Linked DNA regions of Astyanax mexicanus. The protein of the gene in region 2 purifies or fractionates together with the protein of the main gene of each other region. This does not show direct contact. Links are inferred from orthologs where the notes say so. Each region holds a gene or a part of one and is shown on either strand. Other genes may lie near its edges.

Region 1 (7,749 bases), on a different chromosome or scaffold from region 2:
TAGGTTTATGTTTGAGTAAAATGAACATTGTTGTTTATTCTATAAACTACAGACAACATTTCTCCCAAATTACAAATAAAAATATTCTCATTTAGAGCATTTATTTACACAAATATGGTAATAATGCAAAAAAATAAAATCATATTCATAAAGTTTTAAATAAAAGTTCAGAAATTAATATTTGGTGGAATAATCCTGGTTGGTTTTTAATCACAGTTTTAATTTCATGCATCTTGGCATCATGTTCTCCTCCACCAGTCTTACACACTGCTTTTGGATAACTTTATGCTGCTTTACTCCTGGTGTAAAAATTCAAGCAGTTCAGTTTGGTGGTTTGATGGTTTGTGATCATCCATCTTCCTCTTGATTATATTCCAGAGGTTTTTAATTTGGTAAAATCAAAGAAACTCATCATTTTTAAGTGAAAATTTTTTTTTTTTTCCCAGAGCTGTATATCACAGAGAATTATTTCATACCTCAACATCTGACTCAAGGAGTCAAACAGGCAGTTCAGCACTGACATGAGCATCAGCTGTATGGAAAAATTTAATACAAATTAATAAACTGATTGATGTGTTTATTAGACAAATAAATAAGAATAAGTTTAAGCTAAAAGAATCAGGTTTGAGCTGTTACCTCGTTCTCATGTGAGCTCCCGATTACATAGAAGTACAGATCTATGTTGCTCTTATAAACAACAGTAAGGCCTTCAAGCAGAGCGATTTCACCTGTTAAAGAGAAAAATCAAATCAAGATAATTATAAAACTGTGAAAACTTCAGAACAAATAAACCGTGTAGTAAATAAACGTAAAAAAACTGTCTTACTGTCTGTTCTGTGCGTCTTGTTGAAGATGTTCTTCTCAAAGGCCTTTTGTTCTTTAACTGTGGGGTAGGTGTCGTCATAATACTGAAACAGAGGTTAATCAGAGAGACGTTATAAATAAAACGTACAGATAAAACCATCACAATCCTTTAAAACAGCTCTGTTACTCAGATTTACAGTTTCTTGAATTTCTAAAGTGTGTATACCCTTGAATGTATTCACATTTTGTTACCCAACAACAACAAACCATACAAAATAAATAAAGTAAGCTATTTTATTGAGATTTTAAGTGAAAGAGCAACACAACAAGTAGCACATAATTGTAAAGTGGACTAAAAATTACTTCACAATTTTAATCAAATAAAAATCTGAAATCATGTTTATCCCTTTATCCCATATAAAATAAAATGATAAAATCCAGTGCAAACAATTAAGTGATTACCTTAAAAAAAATCTCCAAATTAGTTAAAAGGTCTCATTACATCGTTATTTCATTTCTTGTGTCTCTAGTATGAATGAATACCATGTGAGCTATTTTTTGTGGAAAAAAAAAAAAAGTGCTCCGGTGATCCGGTATAACACTGCTTTAGTCCGGTGGAAGAGTGGGCGGGAAAAGAACGATAGGATTACAGCCCTTGCTTATGAATATTCATACATGCAAACATCACCTCTGATTGGCAAAGTGCATCGGACAACAGTTAGAAACGTCTTTACAATGTCACATGTTACTTTAAAACATGTGTAATAATGCCCTGCTAAGTGCAGTTCAGCCACTGACCTAGTCTTAGTCTCTGTAAAACACCAAATCCACCGGAGATCCTATTTAAACCTATAGTTACTTACACACAGAGGTGGATAACAGAGTCCAGGTCCGGAAAGTAAAAATCCATCAGGGAATTTTACTTTTAACTAGTGTAAACAGAACTGTTCTAAACACCTCTCAATTGTACTTGGCTGGTGGTGTTTTTTCCTCCATAGACTAATTCTAACCATTTGTTTCTTAGCTCTGAATTACTGGGTAAAGTATATAAAACACTGATGTGTTATTCGCACAAACAACACAGGAATGAACTGCATGCTGCCTGTGGGCGGTCCCGAGCCAAAAAAAAAATAAATACAATCAGAAAGGAGTGAGGACTGGAGTATTATTACTATTATTATTTATCTTACCTTAGCATAGAGTCTTTCTCCATCATTGTCCATGATAAGAACTGCTTTTACGGTGTACAGAGAGGGCTCCTGAAACAGCAGCACATGAATCACGCGAGTTAATCAGTAAACAGATTTATGAGTTAATCTAATCTACACTCGCGTACACCAACGTATTAACAGGCAAAGGTTGTGCTGAGAATTAGGCAGCAGGAATGTTAAATAAAATTAAAGTGAAACATGAAACAATATTTTAGAAAAGTAAGAATAATTGATAGAAAACGCATAGAAAATAATTAGCGTTTATGCATTACAGATTAAAGATTCTATCTGCAAAATTGTGAAAATTAAATCCAGATTTAAGAAAGTAAAATGGCAATACTGTCACAGTCAACAAATTTTCTTTATTATGAATTTTAAAGAGCAAATCTCATAGAAAACAATGTTTTCCTCACTTTAAATAAAAAGTTAGTTTTTTTATTTAATTATTTAATACCCAGTCCATGTATTCAACTTATATAAAAGTCAATAAGGAGCATAAGTTTTATACACTCATTATATTTACCCTAACTTCCAAGCTAAAAATACTAATTACAGATTTTTAGTAATATAAGCACACATAGATAATTAACTAGATATGGATGCAAACGGCTTTAAACTAGCTAAGCTAACTAATGTTAGCATGTCTGCCTCAAAACAGCTTTAAAAAAAAAAAAATGTGTGTGCATTTAAGAAAATAAAGCTTTCCTCTCAGTAAAGCTTCAGAAAGAGAGAATAATAAGTGTAAAAACTAAGTTTTGGGGTTTTAGAATTAGAGGATTATCAGTGAAGGTTAAGAAAGAGAGAATAATACTTTTATAAAGTTATTTTGGGTGTTTTTTAGAGGATAATCAGTAAAAGCTAGTTAGTTAGCTCTGCTGCTGCTGTTGTAGTAAAACACTGTTATTATTAATATTAAACTCCACAGCAGCGATTGCTGAAGCTCCAGTTCTCACAGTAAGAGATAATACAGCTCAGATAATATTAATAAATACAGTATTGTAATAATTATACCAGTATTAGCGGCTCCATCCTCGCGGTTAATCAGCGGAGCTCCTGCCGATCCCAGTGCTGTCCACTTCCGGCTGTGACTGAACCGGAAGTGACCTTGCGTTTCACTTCAAAATACAGGTCCGTCCAAAATATCCCTAATACGATGGCGTATGAAAACAGTACACTTCAAGATTAAAGTCATAATAAGTTTGTAATATTACGAGATTAAAGTACTACAAACATAAATCTGTAAAATATTACGAGATTAAAGTCATTATATTACGAGAATAAAGTAGTAATATTGCGGTAAGGTTAAAATCGTAGCATTACTAGATAAAAGTAGTAATATTACAAGATTAAAATTATAGTATTACGAGAATGAACTTGTAATATTATGAGATTAAAGTTGTAATATTAAGAGAATAAAATCTTAATATTATGAGATTAATGTCATAATATTAAAGGCTATTATTTGGTTTGGTTTGATCATCCTTAATGTGGTTACCCTTGTAAAAGAAAAAAAATATATATATATACATATATATATATATATATATATATATATATATATATATATATATATATATATATATATATTAATATGTATTTAAATACACACTAAATGTACTATTTTGGAACAACTTATGGCAACTTAAATATATTTCAATTGCAATTAAAATATATTTAAATACAACATAAAAGCATTAGGTTGTGCTTTTGAGTGCTTTTTTGTATAACTTCTGTGAACTTAAGTAGATTTATAGCTTGTGTTTTTTTAAACATCATGTTCAATACACTTAATGTATATTGTAAATACACTTTATACAACTTGAAAAAAAAAACTATAAACTATAGTGCACAGTAATTAATGCCACTAAACATTTTTTTTTCAACACAACATTTAATTTAAAGCATATTGCTTAAAAAATGCATTTTATGGAAATACAGAGAAGGTATATTAAATAGAAAATGCAGAGCCTAATCTGAACATACATTTAATGCTCTTAAGGATACTTAATTTATTTACAAGGGTAAAGTTACACATTTGCATACATTTTCTTTAGTTTATTTACCTATTTAAATCTTCATTAAATAAATCCCAGAGTTCTAGTCTGAACGTTACTGTGTTCAGTGCACTCCTGACCTTCCTGTGCCGCTGTGTATAACTGAGCCTGGATTCCAGCCTGTCTTGCCTTTATTGAAACTTTCCATTTTGTCATGCTGAATTCAAAACCAATAGGCCATTCTATCACAAAAATAGGCCCACTTCCTTGCCTACAGTACCCTCAGTATTTACTGGAATGTTTCTGCACAGGCGTTGTCATGCACTGAGGTCTGTAGAGGAGCCAACCAGTATCTGACCTTCCCCTGTCAATTACAGCTCATCCATATACTGCCTATTCTCTTCTTCACCATATTCACCATGTACACATACAGCTCTGGAAAAAATAAGAAAGCACTTAAAAATGATGATTTTCTATGATTTTACCAAATTGAAAACCTCTGGAATATAATCAAGAGGAAGATGGATGATCACAAACCATCAAACCACCAAACTGAACTGCTTGAATTTTTACACCAGGAGTAAAGCAGCATAAAGTTATCCAAAAGCAGTGTGTAAGACTGGTGGAGGAGAACATGATGCTGAGATGCATGAAAAAAAAAAAAAACTGTGATTAAAAACCAACCAGGGTTATTCCACCAAATATTGATTTCTGAATTTTCATTTTCTGTAAATAAATGCTCTAAATAAGAATATTTTTATTTGGAATTTGGGAGAAATGTTGTCTGTAGTTTATAGAATAAAACAACAATGTTCATTTTACTCAAATATAAACCTATAAATAGTAAAATCAGAGAAACTGATTCAGAAACTGAATTGGTGTTTTTTCTGTAGTTCTGATCTGTAGTTTAAGGACACTATTATTATATTTAAATACACAATTTTTTCACAAGGGTTTAACTTAATGTATATATTTACAGTATTTTACTGCGATGAATTACTCAACATGGCTGTATTGTATTTGAAGTTTAAAAAATGTAAAACTATTTTTGAATTGTTATTTAAAACAATATCTCCACAATCTTATTTAATGTACTTCCGAGTGCTTTTGTGGGCCGATCTCTTTAAATAGCACCACCATGAGTGTCTGATCTAATTTGGTTTTAATTTGGGTCGTAATCCAGTGATTTGAGGTTAGTTTTATGAGGCACAGGCCTCAATGACACGAGTCTTCTGTAAAACAGTAAACAGCTTATGATACGTCTGCTTTAATTTAACAGATCCTCCTACAGGCGGCCGTCATCGTCCTCATGGCACGGGTCTGGTCACTTCTTCTGGGAAGCACCACTGTGAAAACCCGAGCTCCGAGGGGATTTTCCCTGCTCACTCCTCCTGCACACACACTGACATCAGAGTCCTCTCAGCTCCTGCTCTCAGCCCTTTTGGTTTCAAACACGGCGTCCAAGATCTGCTCCCAGGCCTGCAGAGGGTCATTTATACCATATCAGGAAAACCAGACTGTAGAGTTGTGTATTTAACATGTTAACTTTATTTTAGGGATTGTTTTTCATTTATTCACAGTTACAAACATGCACAGCAAAATAAACAGTGTTAAACTTTAGAGGAGTTACCTGGGTATGTACAGGACCATCTAAAAAAATTAGAATATCTTTGAAAAGTTGCTTTATTTCAGTAATTCAGTTGAAAATGTGAAACTCATATATTATATACATGTATTAAACAGAGTGATCTATTTTAATAATTTATTTATTTTATTATTGATGATTATGATGATTATGAAGCTTACAGCCAATAAAAAAACCCAAAATCAGTGTCAATCAATATAATAAGACCAATTGGTACTTTTGTTTGGCAGTGTGGGCAGTGTGCCAAGTCCTGCTGGAAAATGAAATCCACACCTTCATAAAAGTTGTTATCAGCAGAGGGAAGCTGTAAGATATGAAGTGCTGTAAGATTTTGTGGGAAAACAAAACTGCACTGACTTTAGACTTGATAATAAAACACAGTGGATCAACACCAGCAGATGACAGACATGACTCTCCAAACAAACCATCACTGATCATCAGTAAATTTTACATTTCATTTAAAGTAAATCAAGGGAGTCTGGAGGAAGGAAAATAAGTTTCTTACTGAAAAATAAATACTGTAAACTATTTTTTCTAGATCTTCAAACTTTATATTTGCATATTTTCTGACCTTCCCCTGAAACTATATAGCTAACTAGAGTATCTATAAAACATTATAAAATGTAAACTATACCACACAAAAAATTACTTTTTTTTTTATCTTTTCTAAGCTTTAGAACCTGAGAGATCATCTTGTGTGGATACCCTTATCCACCATTCATAAAAATGCTCAAGTATGTGTGTATGGGTTATTTGGAAGAGGCAGTGGGTGATGTATGGGTTTAGGGGCGGGGCAGGAGGGAGATCTGACTGGGCTGAGCAGTGTGCCTCTGTAGCAGTACAAACAAACAAAATATATACAGAACATTGATGTTATATCCATCGACTTACACCCTAAATTAAACAGCATTAATAAGTAGCTGTGGAATAAAGGAGTTAAAATTGTAAAATAAAGTAAATACAGGGTCTGAAAGGGTTAAGGAGTTCCTCCACAGTTTTAAATAGAAGAACTCCTGAAACTTCCTGCAGGAAGGTATTATTTTAGAAGTGAGAGTGAGAGAATACAGCATTTCCACCCTGTACACAGTTTTAATTGTGTTAGTAGGGTTTTAGGAGAAGTCTGTGGAGATTGTTCTAAAGCCTCTGGCAGCAGCAGAGCGGCTCACCAGCGCGTTTCACAATCCAGCTCTGGGTTTTCACAAGGTTACCGCGAAGTGCATTTCGAAATCATCCTTTAGTGCTGTAGAGGACACAATACGAGCTGGATGTGCCTGATGAAGCGATAAACTATCTTTCTGATACACGTCGCAGCATCACTGTCAAGAGTGCACATGCATTTATATTTTTAATAGTGAGGTTAATATCAATATAAAATAATATACAGCTCTGGAAAAAATGAAGAGAGCACTTCAGTTTCTGAATCAGTTTCTCTGATTTTGCTATTTATAGGTTTATGTTTGAGTAAAATGAACATTGTTGTTTTATTCTATAAACTACAGACAACATGTCTCCCAAATTCCAAAGAAAGAGAAATCAATATTTGGTGGAATAATCCTGGTTTTTAATCACATTTTTTTATGCATCTTGGCATCATGTTCTCCTCCTCCACCAGTCTTACACACTGCTTTTGGATAACTTTATGCTGCTTTACTCCTGGTGTAAAAATTCAAGCAGTTCAGTTTGGTGGTTTGATGGTTTGTGATCATCCATCTTCCTCTTGATTATATTCCAGAGGTTTTTAATTTGGTAAAATCAAAGAAACTCATCATTTTTAAGCCGTAGCAGTAAGTATTAGGATGTACTCTGAATTAGTATTAATACACATATAGAGGAATACTATGTTATCCTTTAAAAAAAATTAAATATTTAAAATATAATAATTTAAATTAGCTATTTCCATTTAAAAAAATAATATATATATATTTTTCTAGGGAATAAAGACACTTTCTGCATGTTCAGCTATTAATCATATTAAATTCACCTCATATTTCTCATATTTAAAACAGAACAAGCTCACCCTGAACAATTTAAAGTATCTGTAACTTAGTAACTAAGTAAACCATGATTTCATGAAAAGGCCTTTTTTTGGTAAAAT
Region 2 (7,244 bases):
ACTGGGAAAAAAATTCTTTGTACTTGGAAATGGAAAAGTAAAACATACTAGTAAGGAAAACGGTAGCAATAGTTTCTTTCTCTCTTTTTCTTCCTTATTTTTACATATGTAACAGCACTTCATCCTCTGATTGGTCAATATCAAGAAAAATGTTGTAGGATATGCCAAAAAAAATGAATCAGCTCTGACAAAATCATCAATCAGTCAAAACTGGTCTAAATCTGTGTAGACTGATGCCATCATTAAAATCTCTGTACATATAGAACATGTGAAAGTAAACCTGTACATACCACTACTAGTAAGGATGTAGGGCTGGGTGGGGTGCACAGCAATGCAGCGGATATAATCCGAATGAGCCTCGAACATATGGACCCGTTCTAGTGTGTTGTAGTTGAAAACCCGAATCTGCATATCATCCTAAAAGACAGAGGGCAGAAAAAAAGCAATTCACACCAGGTCCAAGAAAACATCATGCCTGATATAATGAATATTGATTCATAAGCAATAGATGATATATGCATGTATTTAATGAACATATTATTATCACAACTAAACACAGCTACTACTTACTGCTCCAGTGATAACCCAGTTTTTCCTGGCCACAAACTTTGAGGCTCGTACTGGCAGGTCGCACACTTCAAACGTCTTCACCAAGGTCTACAAAACAATCAGAGAAAACTTTATATTAAAACAGTTCAATATTTTTTTCTCTAAACTACTGAAATCAGACTTGGTCAGACTGAGGTCAGACTTGAATAACATAAAGCAGAATCTTTACAGTTTGCAGTTTGTAAATAAACTGTCTACACAAAGAGGTTCGACACTTACTTGTGTTTCATGGTTCCAGACGCAGACGCTGCCGTTGTACAGACTGGCCAGCATCCATGGCTCCGTGGGATGAAGGTCCACGCTCTTGACACGGTCGGACCGAGCCGTGAGCTTGCGCTTGATGTCCAGCCTCAGAGGCTACAAGGGGGAAAATTGTTCACCCAGTTGTTAACACAAATATATTAAGAATGAAAGAATAAAGAGGACAGTTTTTACCATTATAAACAATATGCTTTTCTAAACACATATGACATGAAGTGTTCTTATACCCCAAAATGCTTACAAACGATATCATAAGAAAAGGTCTCACAATATGATAAACTAACAACATATTGTCCAGCTCTATCATGGATTATTTGTGACCAGTGCAATACCAATATGATCAGACTGCCAACACCTCCATAGCTAGGCACATATAACCACTGTTAGAGATGGACAACATATTGATAGCTTATCGTATCATGACACCTTTTTTTTTTTACCATATCAACAATACACATTTTAAGGTTATTACCTGTACTTAAAGAACACCGACCCAACTGTACTTTTCATTACAACGTGTAATAAATCATGTTTAATGGAATAATGTTCAGCACAAATTAAATAAGAATCACTATACTCTGCATGAAAAAGCTGTTGGGTCAGTGTTCTTTAAGTACTGGTGATAACCTCAATATGCTTACTGTGGATATGACAGAAACATGTATTTCGATAGGAGCAGTATAGAATAGGATACATGTATTGATACATGTAATGAAATATAGCCTCTCTCTACGTTATTATTGTGTTATTACCCTATGGCGAAATGTTAAAACATGGAAAAAATGAACACTTAAGAAAGGTTAACTAGTTTAGTTAAATATAACCTGCTTACATGCAGCTCTGGGAAAAAATGAGAGACCTCTTTATAATGGTGAGTTTCTTTGATTTTACCAAATTGAAAACCTCAAGAGGAAGACGGATAATCACAAGCCAACAAACCAAGCTGAACTGATTGAATATTTGCACCAGGAGTGGCATTAAAAAGCAGTGTGTAAAACTGGTGGAGGAGAACATGCCAAGATGCATAAAAACTGTGATTAAAAAAACAGGGTAATTTCGCCAGATTTTGATTTCTGAACTTCTAAAACTTTATGAATATGAACCTGTTTTTTCTGCATCGTTTTTGTTATTTCAGCCATATCTTATTTTCTGCAAAATGCTCTAAATGACAGTAACTTATATTTATAGAATAAAACAACAATGTTAATTTCACTTAAACATATAACTATAAATAGAAAAATCAGAGAAACTAATTCGGCAACTTAAGTGGTTTCAATTTTTTCCAGAGCTGTATATAGTTTGCAAACTATACGTTTTTACAAATACAACGTTAAAACATTAAGTTAATAGTTAGTTTAAATAGTTTAGATGTTAGCTAGCTTAGCAAACCACCACGTCATTAATGTCAACTCTCTCAGCTTCTCTTAAGCTAGTTTAGTCGGGTTAGCTTTGACTTTAGCAAGCTAAGCTAACTCTGCAGCTCAATATTTAATATCACGGCAACCTGCAGTTTAATTAGCTCACTAAATAACTTCATATTTATAGTTAATCGTCTCAACATCACAAAACTTCAACATCTGGACTCAGAGAGCTAACGCTAGCTAATTATTAAAGCTAACTGTGAGAGATAGCTAGCGAGCTAATGCTAGTTAGCCGGGCAGCCAGCTAGCTTGCGTTCAATGGGATAAATATTGGAATTAGCATTGAAGCTAACTAGCTTCAAATTCGTTGTTTAACCAGGTTCACAGCCGAAAAGACAGTTAGGTTACAAATTGAAGCCTTTGAAGTTGTTATTAGTACGTTTTTAAAAAGGAAAACGCCCAAATTATAGCATTATTTCGTTCACAGACTGAATACATGGTCAGCTAACTATCTTAGCTAACTTGGCTAGCGTTTACGCTACGTTGCTCAGTCTGTGTATGTGGCCTTTAGCTCCGCTAGCTTAGCATCGCTAACTAAACCTAAAGCTAAACTCAGCTGCGGGAGATCTGCGCTCTGACAGACTGCATCAACGCGCTGTGTATAACTTAACCGGAGCGGAGCTGCTGTACTCACCATTCTGCTGCTTTTAGTGGGTTTTCGCTCTTTCTAATCGCAGATCTGCTGCTGCTGCTGTATCCGCAGCTCACTAAAGCTCCAGCTGGACACACACACTCCCTCACACACACACACAGTAAGATACACACACTCTCATCTGACGTGGAACTTCCTCAAACGTGTGGTGGGAGCCGATGACGCGACACATGGAGGACTGAGGAGATCCAGAGCAGAAACTACAGTCCTGCACAACTCTGAATGGTAAAGGATGAATTTAACCCTTTCAGACCCTGTATCCATTACAGTGGGCATAATTTAACCACACTACCTCCATTACATACCAACTAAAAGACTCTACTTTCTATAAGACTCTACTTTCTGTTTTGAAACGTCTGTGTACTATGTATACCTGCTACTGAGTGTGGAGTATTTCCATCTGGGATCAATAAAGCATCTATCTATCTGTCTGTCTGTCTGTCTGTCAAAATGTTAAATTGTTCAAAATATTTGAGAGCTGTTGTTCATCAGAATAGATCATGAGCCAGCCAATTAAAACATTTATAAACCAATGAAACAGGAAAAAATACTACTAGACCCATTGAGGCAAAGAAACAGCTCATTTTACTTATTTAATCACTTTTTTACTTATGCTTTTTTAATTATTTAGGGATGATTTATGAAATAAAAAAGGTCAATATGAGATATACAATACTACACACAGTCTTTCAATACAATGTAAAAAAAATATATATATATTGTAGTTAATTTTATTTATTTGCTGTTAAATTTAGTAGAAAATTAGTAGAGTAGTCTTCTTTTCTGTGCTCTACAGACAAAAAACAGCATTCTTACATTTTTTTTTCCATCACTGTGGATAATCCAGGTCTGAAAGGGATAATAAACTTCATCAAAGCTATACAGGAATGCATGTGAAATTGTATAGTAAACATAAAGTCTTAAACAAACCTAAATATGTTTAATACTTCACTTTAGATTCTTCTAAGTAGCCACATTTAACTTCTTTTGGTATTTTAATCTCAGTGACTTTATGAGGTAGAGTCTTCTGGAATAGTTTTCTCAGCATCTTGAAGGAGTTCCTGGAGGTCACCCATCTCGGTTGATCAGGTTTACATCAGGGGATTGTGGAGGACAAACACTTCTTTTGCTGTTTACTACGTAATTCTATATGTGTCCCTTAATTGCTTTGATGTCTTTAATATTAATCTACAATGTAGAAAATGAATTATGAAAATGAATGTGTGTCCAAACTTTTGACTGGGGCAGTCCTGATGAGAGCCAGTTTCATCATAACATGTTTGATGGTTTTTCGACTGCATTTAAGGATACTTTCAAAGTTTTAATTTTTTTTAGATTAACTGACCTTTATTCAAAGCAAAGTCAATTTATTTTCTTTACTTGAATAGTTGAATTGTTCTTGCTATAATATGGATTAGAACGTTACTCAAATAGGGCTATTTACTGTATACCAACTCTACCTCTTCACAACTTTACAACTGATGCTCTCAAACACATTAAGAGGTAAGAAATTCAAGCAATTAATAACTAATGACAAGTTAGTCTTAGTTATTGTCTTGTTGAAAAATACATGTAAAACACACATACAAATCCATTTGTGTTTTTATTTTGTGGTTTCTTTATTGATATAAATTGCCAATACAGTTATTTTACATTTATCATTTTTTTAGTGAGCACAGAGAGTGAACACTAACCCTGTTTCTTGAACACTTGATGACAAACAACATCTTCACAGTACAGCTCCTGCGATCATAAATGATAAAAAGGAAATGTAGTATGTTAGTGTGAGAATGCAAAATAACATAATATGTAATATACAACTTTTTTTTTCCCTGATAACAGTATGAATGGTTATTTTTTTCGTCTTTGATCATCTCATTTCTACCAAAAATATCTGGAATACTAAAATGTACTGAATGAGTGTTTTTAGAGGCCTTTTCTATTCTGTGGATCTGAATCCAGTAAAACATTTTTGTGATTTGGAAGAACATGAGATTCGCTGCATTAAATACAATTGCATGATTCAGTCATGTGACCATGGACCCGAATCTCAATGCAATGCCTTCAACATCTTATGGAATTCGTGCTACAAAATACTAAAGCTGTTTTCAATGTGAAGGCAGGTCCTATCCAGTATTACTTTACTATATATAGTCAGTGCTTGGTTAGTTGATTTGAACGATTTAAATGTGCAATTAAATGTTACCCTGTAAAACAAAGCAATTGGAGGCTCACCAAGTGCAGTTTATCTCCCTCTAGCCAGTGCTTCCATCCACGGTTGGCCTTCTCACCCTTTTGTATACACACCAATTCCTCGCCCTCCCAGGTGATCAGAGTCTGTAAAGACAAGCTCGTCAGTCAACAGTGCCGTGGCCTGTTCCTGCCCTCTCTCATTCACACTGAGCTACGTCTCCTCAAACACAGAGGCTTTGGCTCCGGTGAAGTCTGATCTGTACAGTCAAACACAATGAGACTGTGGGCATGGATAGGCATAGCAATGGTTCAATCAGTTCTTGGCCTTTCTTTAATAATCCAATATGTAAGTTTGTCTCTCTGTTGTCCTGCCCCCAACTATAAAGAGATTCTGACTGTATATGTGTCTGAATGTGACTCCAAATCATGGATTAAAGAAATTCATTATATATTTGTAACAATATTGACTTTTATCCGTAAGTGATACCAAACACACAATTTATTAAATAAGAGGTTGCACTTATAAGAATAATCAGGGACAGGCAGGATCAGTAACCAAAGGACAGTGTAAACAAACAGCATACCAGAGTGAGTAGACAAGGAGATCATACACAGGAAATCCAGTATATAATTAAAAGGGCAAGGCAAAAGGGTGGTCAAATAAACAAAACAGGTAGGCAACGAGTAGGCTAACTAAACAACAAAAGGCTTTGCGAAAAAGGATGGTCAGAGATACAAAAAGGGTTGGTAACATACAGTCATGCACAAAAGAAATGTGAAGTTACCTATGGGAATAGATTAGAATAGGAAAAACAAGGGCTATTTATACTGGGGAAAGACACGTGAACTAACTAGAAGGATGACGACACAGGTGTATCCTGGGAAATGGAGTCTTTATTGAGAGAACCAGAGTCTGTGGCAGGCGGACAGACAGTAACAGGACTGACACAAATCTAGTTATCTAGCTTATTATGCTTGCTTAGACGCAGTGTAGAAATAGTGTGAATGAGTTTAAAGGTACAACATGAGGAGGTATTTAAAGCCATGTCCACATGTACTTCTTGAGTTTCTTAATTATTTCTGCAGTTTGGCCTCCCAACCACATGAAGATGCTGTTTTTGATGGAAAACTAAGCTTGGTGGAGATTTTAAAACTTTTTTTTTAGTGTTGTGTGAACAGGAAAAACAGAGCTTTAAGAAAATGCTGAAGTCATCTAGAGTAAGAAGGAACACATAATTTATCATGTAATTACTCAAAAGTGTTAAACAAACTGTCAAGCATTTAGGTGTCTCATATCTGGGGAGCTGTTAACTTGTGGTTTCTAAGGCTGGTTTTGATGTTCGTTTTTGATGTTCCGTGACTAACCTTCATTTCTTCAAGTATTTTTTCTTTACTTAGTTGAGTAGATCTTGCCATAATATTAATTAGAACATAGCCTAAATAGAGCTATTCACTGTATACCTGTAACTCTACCTCTTCACAACTTTACAACTGATGCTCTCAAACACATTAAGAGGACAAGAAATTAAAGTAATTAACTCTTGACAAGTTCAGCACAGCTGTTAACTGAAAGCTTGAATTACAGGTGACTCTACCTCATAAAGCTGACTGAGAAAATCCAGACAAGATGTGCAAAGCTGTTATCTAAGCAAAAATTAATCTAAAATATGAAACATATTGTGGTTTGTTTGACCCTTTCTTTTTGGTTTACTAAATAATTCCATATGTTTTTCTTCATAGTTTGGATGACTTTAGTATTAAGCTACAATGCAGAACATTTTAAGTGCTATTCCAAGGGAATTTTACAATATCTGGCCTTAGAGAAGCCAGATCATCATTTTAGAGCAGTATTTTATCAGATCAAACCAAATTCCCTGGGACTAAATGTCATTTAAACGGTATGTGGTGAATTCTTGAAATGAGTGTTTAATCTATTCGCTTTTGGCCCATCCAGTGCTTTGAAAATGAGTCTTATAAATCACTGCCTAGTGTACTTTTGTCTCGGTGAGTGAGTCTTGATGAATATCCTCTATTTACTTTTTTTACACGATTTCCATCACCAGAGCCGAAGACAGTGCTGGGATGGGAGCCAAGGCCGAGAGGGTGGG
Region 3 (8,030 bases), about 3.9 Mb from region 2:
CAACACAGACACTCACCACAGAAAGGTTGACCCAGGCAGTGGCCAGCTGAGTTAGTGTAGCATCTTCATCCTGTTCCTGCATCTTCTTTAGCTCTTTCCTACACAGTTAACAAATCAACACATGAGCAACAGCAGGTGTGAACTTTCACTTCTGCCCACTAAAAACCACTAAATCAAATTCAGGGATAAAAACACTGGGCTTAATTGCACTGGTGTTGTCATTATGTAAAGAGTTCCCAAACAGATGTACAATATAATGAATAAGAAACCCATTTTACACCATTTGTGAAGAACAACAAAATGTAGTATCTGTAATAATAATCTTTAATGGCATTTCAATAAAAAAAGACATATATATATATATAAATGAAAACATTTTTACTCTTGTGGTTAAATGTTTATTCTATATCCTTACAGGATTGGTCAAAATAAGCATGACTTGTCAAATACAGCTAATTACAAGCCTCTTTGTCCCACCCACAGTGCAGGATTGGTTGAAACCTGGCTCACGTGTTGAACAAGATGCCTGTTTTTCCTAATATTGTATTTTTGTAATTGCTTAAATCAGTATTATACAAGAATATGTCATTTTTATCCCTGGGCTCCCCCTACAGTCAGGGAGCTGAATATAACTTATGCTTTACTTCATTACAGTCAATGTGCCAAATAACAGAAGCTGATACTTAACATATAATTAATATGTAAATTTGTTTTAAACAAACTTAATTATGAATCACATCCATATTGCACAGCCCAACATTCTTTCACACACCACACAAAGAAAACATCACAGCATACCTTGCCATGTCAACTCTGTCCAGCTTCAGAAGTACCTGGACGGTCATCGCCATGCTAAAACAAAGAAACAAAAAAATCTAAATAAATAAATAAAACAAGACAAAGCTGAATCAAATGTTGGATTCTTCACCGCACTGACCACTCGAGGCTCTCTCCCTGGTGAAGTGTTCGCAGGGCAGCGTCTGTGTTCATCTCGTGCAGGTAGATGGAGGCGGCCATCAGCAGGAAGGTGGTGTTTGAGACGTCCACACTTTGACTCATCTTCTTATCCAGCTCAGCCACGATTGAATCCCTGCACACAGTTTTATTACAAAGAAAAAGTGTGTTTTAATATAAAGCATAAATAATAAGGGATTAACATGTACATTCATTATGATGGGTTTCAGTAAATCACATTCTGGGTGCTGACCTTTTGCCCTCATTAGACAGATAGTCTGCAAACATACGGACAGCTTTCAGATCCTCAGAGGAACTCTGCTTTATGTCATCCAGCACCACTCCATACTTTCTCTGCAGGAAAAAACAACAAATATCACTTTAAATATTCTGGTTTTAGATGGTCTACGCTGGTTTTCACTGGTCATGGTGGTTGAAGTGTTGGTCGACCTGTATAAATACATGCAAATGTTCCAAATGTGATCTGGTTGCACAGTTTAGCTCCTGACCAGCATGACATACATTTGAGTCTTTTTTTTTTGTGTGTCTGGTCAAATGCGCCGACCAGTTGAGGTCAAGAGGTTGAGCTGGACCATCAGCATGACCATCCAAGCTAACTAGTCTGTTCATTAGACATATTGGTCTGCCAGTTTGGCTGTACAGGATGATTAGCCTCATCAGGACAGTCATACTATTAAACTAGCTAGTTGACTAGCTTAGCTATTGACCAGCATGGTGTATGTTTTTATTTTATGGATTAGCTGGTCAAGGTAGACTTTCAAGGCTTTGTTAGTCACACTTGCAAAGCAAATTTGTCTGTAGTAAATTAACAAAATTTACATTTTAACACCCACATTGTTACTTTAACACTAACTCTGTTTTACTGTGTTTATTTTGAAGTAAATAAGGCATGAGGAAAATTCACAGTGGATATGATGTGAGACCAACTGAGGGACTAGTTTAGATTAGCCTACTAAAGCATACCTTATATTTTTATTGGGTCTAATGGAGCATAACCCAATTGAACGAGCTTATCATACTGGTCAATCAACAGGTATGCTAACAACCAGCAAGGTGAAGCCAGCCTTTCTGGTAAACCAGCTCAACCATCACACACAAAACACACAAAAGCAAACCAGTTCAGCTGGACAGTAGGAGTATGTCATATGTATCGCACACTTTTATTTTTTTGTTTGCTTGCCTTTAATGCAACAAATATTTATGCTGCACTAATTTTGTTAAATATTTTTGTTGTTTATTTATGTTATTTATTATTTTACAATATTTTTATTTTATATCAATTAAGGGTCTAACTTAATACAATTTAATATTTATTTTGCTGCTGTAGTATAGTCTTTAAAAAAAATATAACACCAATCCCTACTGAGCAGTTAATTTATTTTCACCAGGGACAGGTCTTACTGGTGCACATATTGGGCTATATGATGCAAATAATAAAAAAAAAAGCAATAGACAAGAAAAAAGTGGAGCTGCATGGCGTGTAACTAACATAACCTACCTGTGCTATGTACGCCCTGTAGAGGAAAATGTCCTTCTCCAACTCCTTGTCTGGTCCTGAAGCCTGTAAAATCGATATATGAGCATTACAGTGGGGCATAAACAGAGAATCGAGGCCTGAGAATCTAACTGTGGAGTAAATTACACTAACAGATGTGGGTCAAGTAATAAGTTAGTTTTGTAAAATAATGAGTACAATGAGCACAAAAGTATAAATTCCTGTATAAACAACACTTCTCAAAAGGTAACATTAGAAACAGCTAACAGACAGTCCATATGGCCATTTACAGCTCAAATATCTGAAACATTTATAACGTTCCCTGTAAAATATATATGGTAAAGTATACATAAAGTATATATAAATATATACAGTAAAGCAGCAGCAGCTGACTGGTGTTGTTTTCTATGCTAAGCTAAGCTAACAGCAGTTAGCCGGCTGACAGCCTCCCTAAACCCGCCTCTAACTGAAGCCCTGCTCCCCTGTAAACCCAGTAAAAGCGCTGTAGAATCTCCTCATACCTTCACTTTCTGAGCTTCATTAATACAGTGCTGATAGCTGCCGATATAAAAGGCGTTTTTCACGTCGAATAACTCGTCCACTTCTCCCTGCTGCGCCGCCATGATGCTTCTGAACACCAGTACACGTCACTTCAGCGGCCACATCATCCAGGTCGGCTGCAGGAAGAGTGGGCGGGGCGACGAGCGACGGTCTTATTTCTCATTGGCTGACGAGTCTGTCAATCTCACTCGCACTCATCCATTCATTTTATTAGAAACACTAAAGCTAACTACAAACACTAGAGGAATTTAAAAAGACTCTAAAAAGACTTTAATAGACTAAAATCTGACACTCTTTCACATCTAAAGACAAGTCACAGACATTTTAGTCACAGACTAAGATTTTACAAAAACTGGTAATCTTGCAAGACTGCAACTAGATTCTTTCTCATCCAGGCCCTTCTGATAAATAGTGTATTTAAATATATAATAATAGTGCACTTAAACTGTTATGGAAGGCAAATCCTGCTAAAAATAAGACTGAAGTAAAAATACTCAAATTAAAACGCAAATACTGTTTTGCGCTTTCTTTTTTTCCAAACATGTGTGAAAATATTAGAAAAAAAAATAAAATACAAAAATAAAATAAAAATTACTTTTATTAATTAAATTTTGCCTTTTTAATTTTAATTTACAAGCTTATTGTGAAAAATAAAAGCTTCACTTTGGCCTTTCCTTTTCTTGATGAACTGCATAATAAATGGCAAAACTAAAATCTAAATGCACTGGTAACATTTTTATTTATTTTTCCTTGCAATAGGCTGCATGTCTGACAATTAAAATAAAAACACAAAATGGAAAAATCAATAGCAAAGTAACAGTTTGTGATTTAGTTTGTAGAGTGAGTGGCGCTTTAAGTGTCAACATAAAAGGGAAATACAAAGAAAGATTAGCGCTATCTGCTGGTGATTTACTATTCATTGATTCATTTCCCACTTTTTCCCACAGTAGGCGGGGCTACAACCACAGAACCGGTAAGTATAAGCTTACCATTTCTCATGAACACTCCTGTTGTTTAATTGTGCAAAAAGTAAAAGTTTAAAAAATCAGTTCTGTTCAGCTGAACAACTCTTGAAAGCACACAGACCCACAAACACAGGCTAAAGACACATCAGGTGTTTGTCTATACAGGGATTTTATTGCTCATCATAGATGTGTGGAAAGCAGTTCTTCCAGTTTAGAGATGAGGGTGTAATTTAGCAGAGCACACGGGACGGCCCGCACAAAACTAGCCCCCATCCCACTGTAGAAACCTCTCAGCCCGTTCTTCTCATAGATCCCAACCAGTCCATGAAATATATGTGAGGAATTCTGGCAGTTTGATGTAAAAGCTGGAAGAGAGACATGTAACAATATAACAGTTATATTGACAATAAAATAGTCTAAAATATTATATATTATTATATATAATAACTGATGTAATAATTCAGTAATTAATAAGAAGCATACTGTATTTCATAAGAGCTGCATTACATCACTTATTTTACAAAAATGATTATATAATATATTATTTCGTAATGATTAATAAGGCAATAATTAGGCATACAAAAAATTTAGTAGGGTAAAATGTTTTTTCTGGTTTGTTCGGCAGCACAGTATCAGTAATTATAAAAAGCCCCACTGTTTTATACCCCTCACCTTGCGCTTGATGCTGGGTTCTAATGACGGCCAGAGGGTAGCTGCTGGCCTGTCCACACGCGAACGCCACAAAGCTGAAGAACAGCAGTTTGATGTCACTGCGGTTGGCAGGGTTTCGTCTGGCCCAGCTCATTATCGACTGTTAGGACAAACGATGAGGTATGAGCTATTTTTCTTATAACTGTTGTAGTTAAGTATGTTTAAGCATGTTCATGTACAGTAGGGGCAGCAGATGGTAAGAGTATATATTAATAAAGGCACAAATTAACCCTGTGAACACATTGAGGCTATCAGTATAGGCCTTAGCATAACGTATGATCATATATTATTATGAATATGGCCCCTGGTTTGATTTACCTGATGAACAGCACACTCCACTCCAGCATATGGGATCATGCAGAGCAGACTTGGTCTGAAACCTCTGTAGAAAGCTGTCACAGACTCGTTGCTGTAAATGGACTTTGCACATCCCAGGAGTCCGCTGTAGTTACCGGCCTGCTGCAGATTCAGCCTCACCTTCAGAACCTGCGATTGAGAAGCAGAAAACACAGTCCAGTTACTGGTCTTAATGACTTTTTGTTTCTAGTAGAACCAAACCTACCTTTTAACTCAAATGAGCAAAGACTTCTGCTGGCCCCCAGACAAAAACTAGTTGTGAACTGTGTAAGAGGCCGTTTAAATTCTGTGATGGTCAATACAGGAAAGAACAACAACACTTTTTTCAGAATCCACCTTAAGGGGGCTCCTCCCACTATTTACTGACAGTAGTATACAACCAGACTGGAACATGTTCAGCAGTATCCATGCACACCAGCTGTTCACTGTCTTTAACACTAGAACGGATAGAGCTAACGACTAACTGACATTAGTTTCACACACCAAAACCTCAAACTATTTGCTAATAATTAATTAACTTCACATGTCTTTACTCATCTTAATTTTATTTTTAACTGAACTGAGTTTTATATGGTTATATTTGTAGCCACAATCTGTCTGAACTCTGAGAAAGAGACGAGACGCAGCACATTTTGCCTCAATCTTGGTCAAACAACGATAAAACATTTCAGTAAAGATGGTGGTTATAATGTGTTTTATATCATTTGCACAGAAAGGAGAAAGCTTCCTGGGAGTGCTCAGACCTGTGATGTATCTGTGATACCTCTAGGGGGTAAAATGCTGCGTGTGCTACAGCTCCAGACACACAGCCCAGTCCGAAACGCTGCTCCACAGACAGGTGATCTCTCTCGCCCAGGGTCTGCTTCCTCATCTGGGAAACAGACAGAAAGCAGTTTGTAGGATTTGATTGGGAACTGCTCTAATTAATGTGATTATAAACAAGACCTGTGATTTTATTCCAGTATGAATCTGCAGCTTAAAGTGTAGATCATTAAGTGATTCAATTCAAAAATGAGTTTTATGCGTGTTTGACAATAATAATTATCTATTACCTATTAGACACTTTTGCAGAGATAATATATTACAGTGTTGATTTCCAGTAGTTTCTACAGTCTGACAGTGTATAGATTGATAGGTATATTTTAATAACTAGAGAGTGATTTTAACTCAGTATAAAAAGATGGAACATGTGAAACAAGGTTATATTTATACACCTGGGTATACAGGAAACACTGCAGTGTGGACTGTGGTGTTCCTTTAAGCACATTAACAGCATTTCCCTGCCACATGGACCTCAAGCCTCCAGTTCTCAGATCTTGCAAACCCAAAGACACAGCCTTGGAGCCATAAACCTAGAAAACAAGGGAAGGAACATCTATAAAACATCTATAAAAGCTGAACAAAGTTGTCCACAGTTTAAATATTATAAAAAAAGATTTAAAAAATCTGTCAATCAACTAGAAAATGTAATCAGATTAATCACAACAATATTCTGTGATTAGCTGTGATTAATCGCATTTGTTCTTCTTAAGGGGCAAGTTTTACAGTGGATATTTAAATGTAAATAAAAGAATGAATGTAAAACATGTAAAATGCAATTATATTTAGTTTTAGTGGTCTCAATTAAAATACTGGTGTATATTTCTATGTTTGAGGGGAGATTAAAAAAAACAACGTGGGGTGCCGGAATAAAGAATGCATGATAAATATAGATAGAGGAAACTTTTTTTTACTTTATTGTAAACATCTCAGCTTGTTTGAGCTGAAATACCTGTAGCTGAGTCTTTAATCGGTCAATGGGAGCCGTCACAGTTCTGGAAACAGCGTCAGACAGACCTGCAGCCAGGATGAAGTTCCTCCACTCGGACAGATCCGTCTCCGCCTGAGTGAGCTCTATAGGCATGGATCGACTCTCACCAACGTCAAACACCTGCAGATGGAAGCAGCAAGGAAAGGTGATGATTTAGGAATTCTGTAATTAAATAGTAATAGTAAATTTATACTAAATTAACTGATAAGTAAATCTTAAGTAGAACTGTTTTATGCATTACAAATTTTATTTATCATATATATGCTATAGTATGACAGGGTTCTTTTTTATTGGATTACAAGTCCAGGCAGTAATAAGTGTGCTCTTTACCAGTGTGTGCTTCCATGAGGATATAAGCTCTCTGATATTTTCTGCTGGGTTGATGATCACATGTTGCAGGAATTCCCCCCAATCCACAGTCATGGAGCTGTCCTCATCCATCCTAATAATGAACAGAAAAAGAATTAACAGAGTTAACAGAGAACCATCTCTGTTTATACCCAATCCCAGCAGTACAGACAGCAATATGATCATATGATGTACATGATGATGATATATAAAGTATATGTAGCCAATTAAAATGTTAATTAGCAATTGTAAAAAAGAAAAAAAGGCAAATTTCATGCATCTTGGCATGTTCTCCTCCACCAGTCTTACACACTGATTTTGGATAACTTTATGCCTTAACTCCTGGTGCAAAAAAAATTCAAGAGGTTTTCAACTTGGTAAAATCAAAGAAACTCATTGTTTTCAAATGAAATGGTCTCTTATTTTGTCCAGAGCTGTATATATACATATAAATATCTTTTACTTTATATTTTACCACAGTTAGTTCCGACCCTGCAATGTGATTGGCTGAGAGATGTTCTGTGAGTTATCATTATCAGCCAGTAATGCACTGTAACCGAAGCACTCCATGTATGACTCCGCCACATACAGGTATCCTAGCAATAATGCAGCGCTTACAAGCCAAACAGCGCAGCTTAGATACAGAGTATCAGTATCTAAAGTTAGTGGGTATAAAGCATGCAGTGATGATCCTGGCCTTTCTGTTAAAGCAAATAAGGCTTTTCCTCCTTCCTCCTCCTTCAGTAAATATCAGTGGGAAAATGTTTCATTCCCAGTAGGTCTATTCCCTCTGAAAAGACCATGATCA

The links.
Region 1: the proteins of copb2 (region 2) and copz1 fractionate together in Homo sapiens (co-fractionation; 6 studies listed by BioGRID and IntAct, with this or other methods). This does not show direct contact. The link is inferred for Astyanax mexicanus from reciprocal best matches to the Homo sapiens genes COPB2 and COPZ1.
Region 3: the proteins of copb2 (region 2) and cope purify together in Homo sapiens (affinity purification with mass spectrometry; 4 studies listed by BioGRID and IntAct, with this or other methods). This does not show direct contact. The link is inferred for Astyanax mexicanus from reciprocal best matches to the Homo sapiens genes COPB2 and COPE.

What each region holds. Positions count from the first base shown.
Region 1 is NC_064420.1:853,260-861,008, forward strand, and holds the start of copz1 (coatomer subunit zeta-1), read right to left. Parts: upstream 3,134-7,749; 5' UTR 3,045-3,133; coding exon 3,027-3,044; intron 2,064-3,026; coding exon 1,995-2,063; intron 909-1,994; coding exon 827-908; intron 729-826; coding exon 637-728; intron 533-636; coding exon 477-532; intron 1-476. UniProt on the Homo sapiens protein: The coatomer is a cytosolic protein complex that binds to dilysine motifs and reversibly associates with Golgi non-clathrin-coated vesicles, which further mediate biosynthetic protein transport from the ER, via the Golgi up to the trans Golgi network.
Region 2 is NC_064415.1:52,356,259-52,363,502, forward strand, and holds the start of copb2 (coatomer subunit beta'), read right to left. Parts: upstream 3,081-7,244; 5' UTR 2,929-3,080; coding exon 2,926-2,928; intron 967-2,925; coding exon 829-966; intron 658-828; coding exon 571-657; intron 418-570; coding exon 291-417; intron 1-290. Other genes in the region: rbp2b (retinol-binding protein 2b), read right to left, coding at 4,633-4,686, 5,179-5,280. UniProt on the Homo sapiens protein: The coatomer is a cytosolic protein complex that binds to dilysine motifs and reversibly associates with Golgi non-clathrin-coated vesicles, which further mediate biosynthetic protein transport from the ER, via the Golgi up to the trans Golgi network.
Region 3 is NC_064415.1:56,240,474-56,248,503, forward strand, and holds the start of cope (coatomer subunit epsilon), read right to left. Parts: upstream 3,134-8,030; 5' UTR 3,094-3,133; coding exon 2,992-3,093; intron 2,537-2,991; coding exon 2,474-2,536; intron 1,309-2,473; coding exon 1,208-1,308; intron 1,091-1,207; coding exon 938-1,090; intron 853-937; coding exon 799-852; intron 99-798; coding exon 17-98; intron 1-16. Other genes in the region: slc25a24l (solute carrier family 25 member 24, like), read right to left, coding at 4,177-4,361, 4,669-4,807, 5,026-5,193, 5,828-5,935, 6,279-6,416, 6,836-6,994, 7,205-7,316. UniProt on the Homo sapiens protein: The coatomer is a cytosolic protein complex that binds to dilysine motifs and reversibly associates with Golgi non-clathrin-coated vesicles, which further mediate biosynthetic protein transport from the ER, via the Golgi up to the trans Golgi network.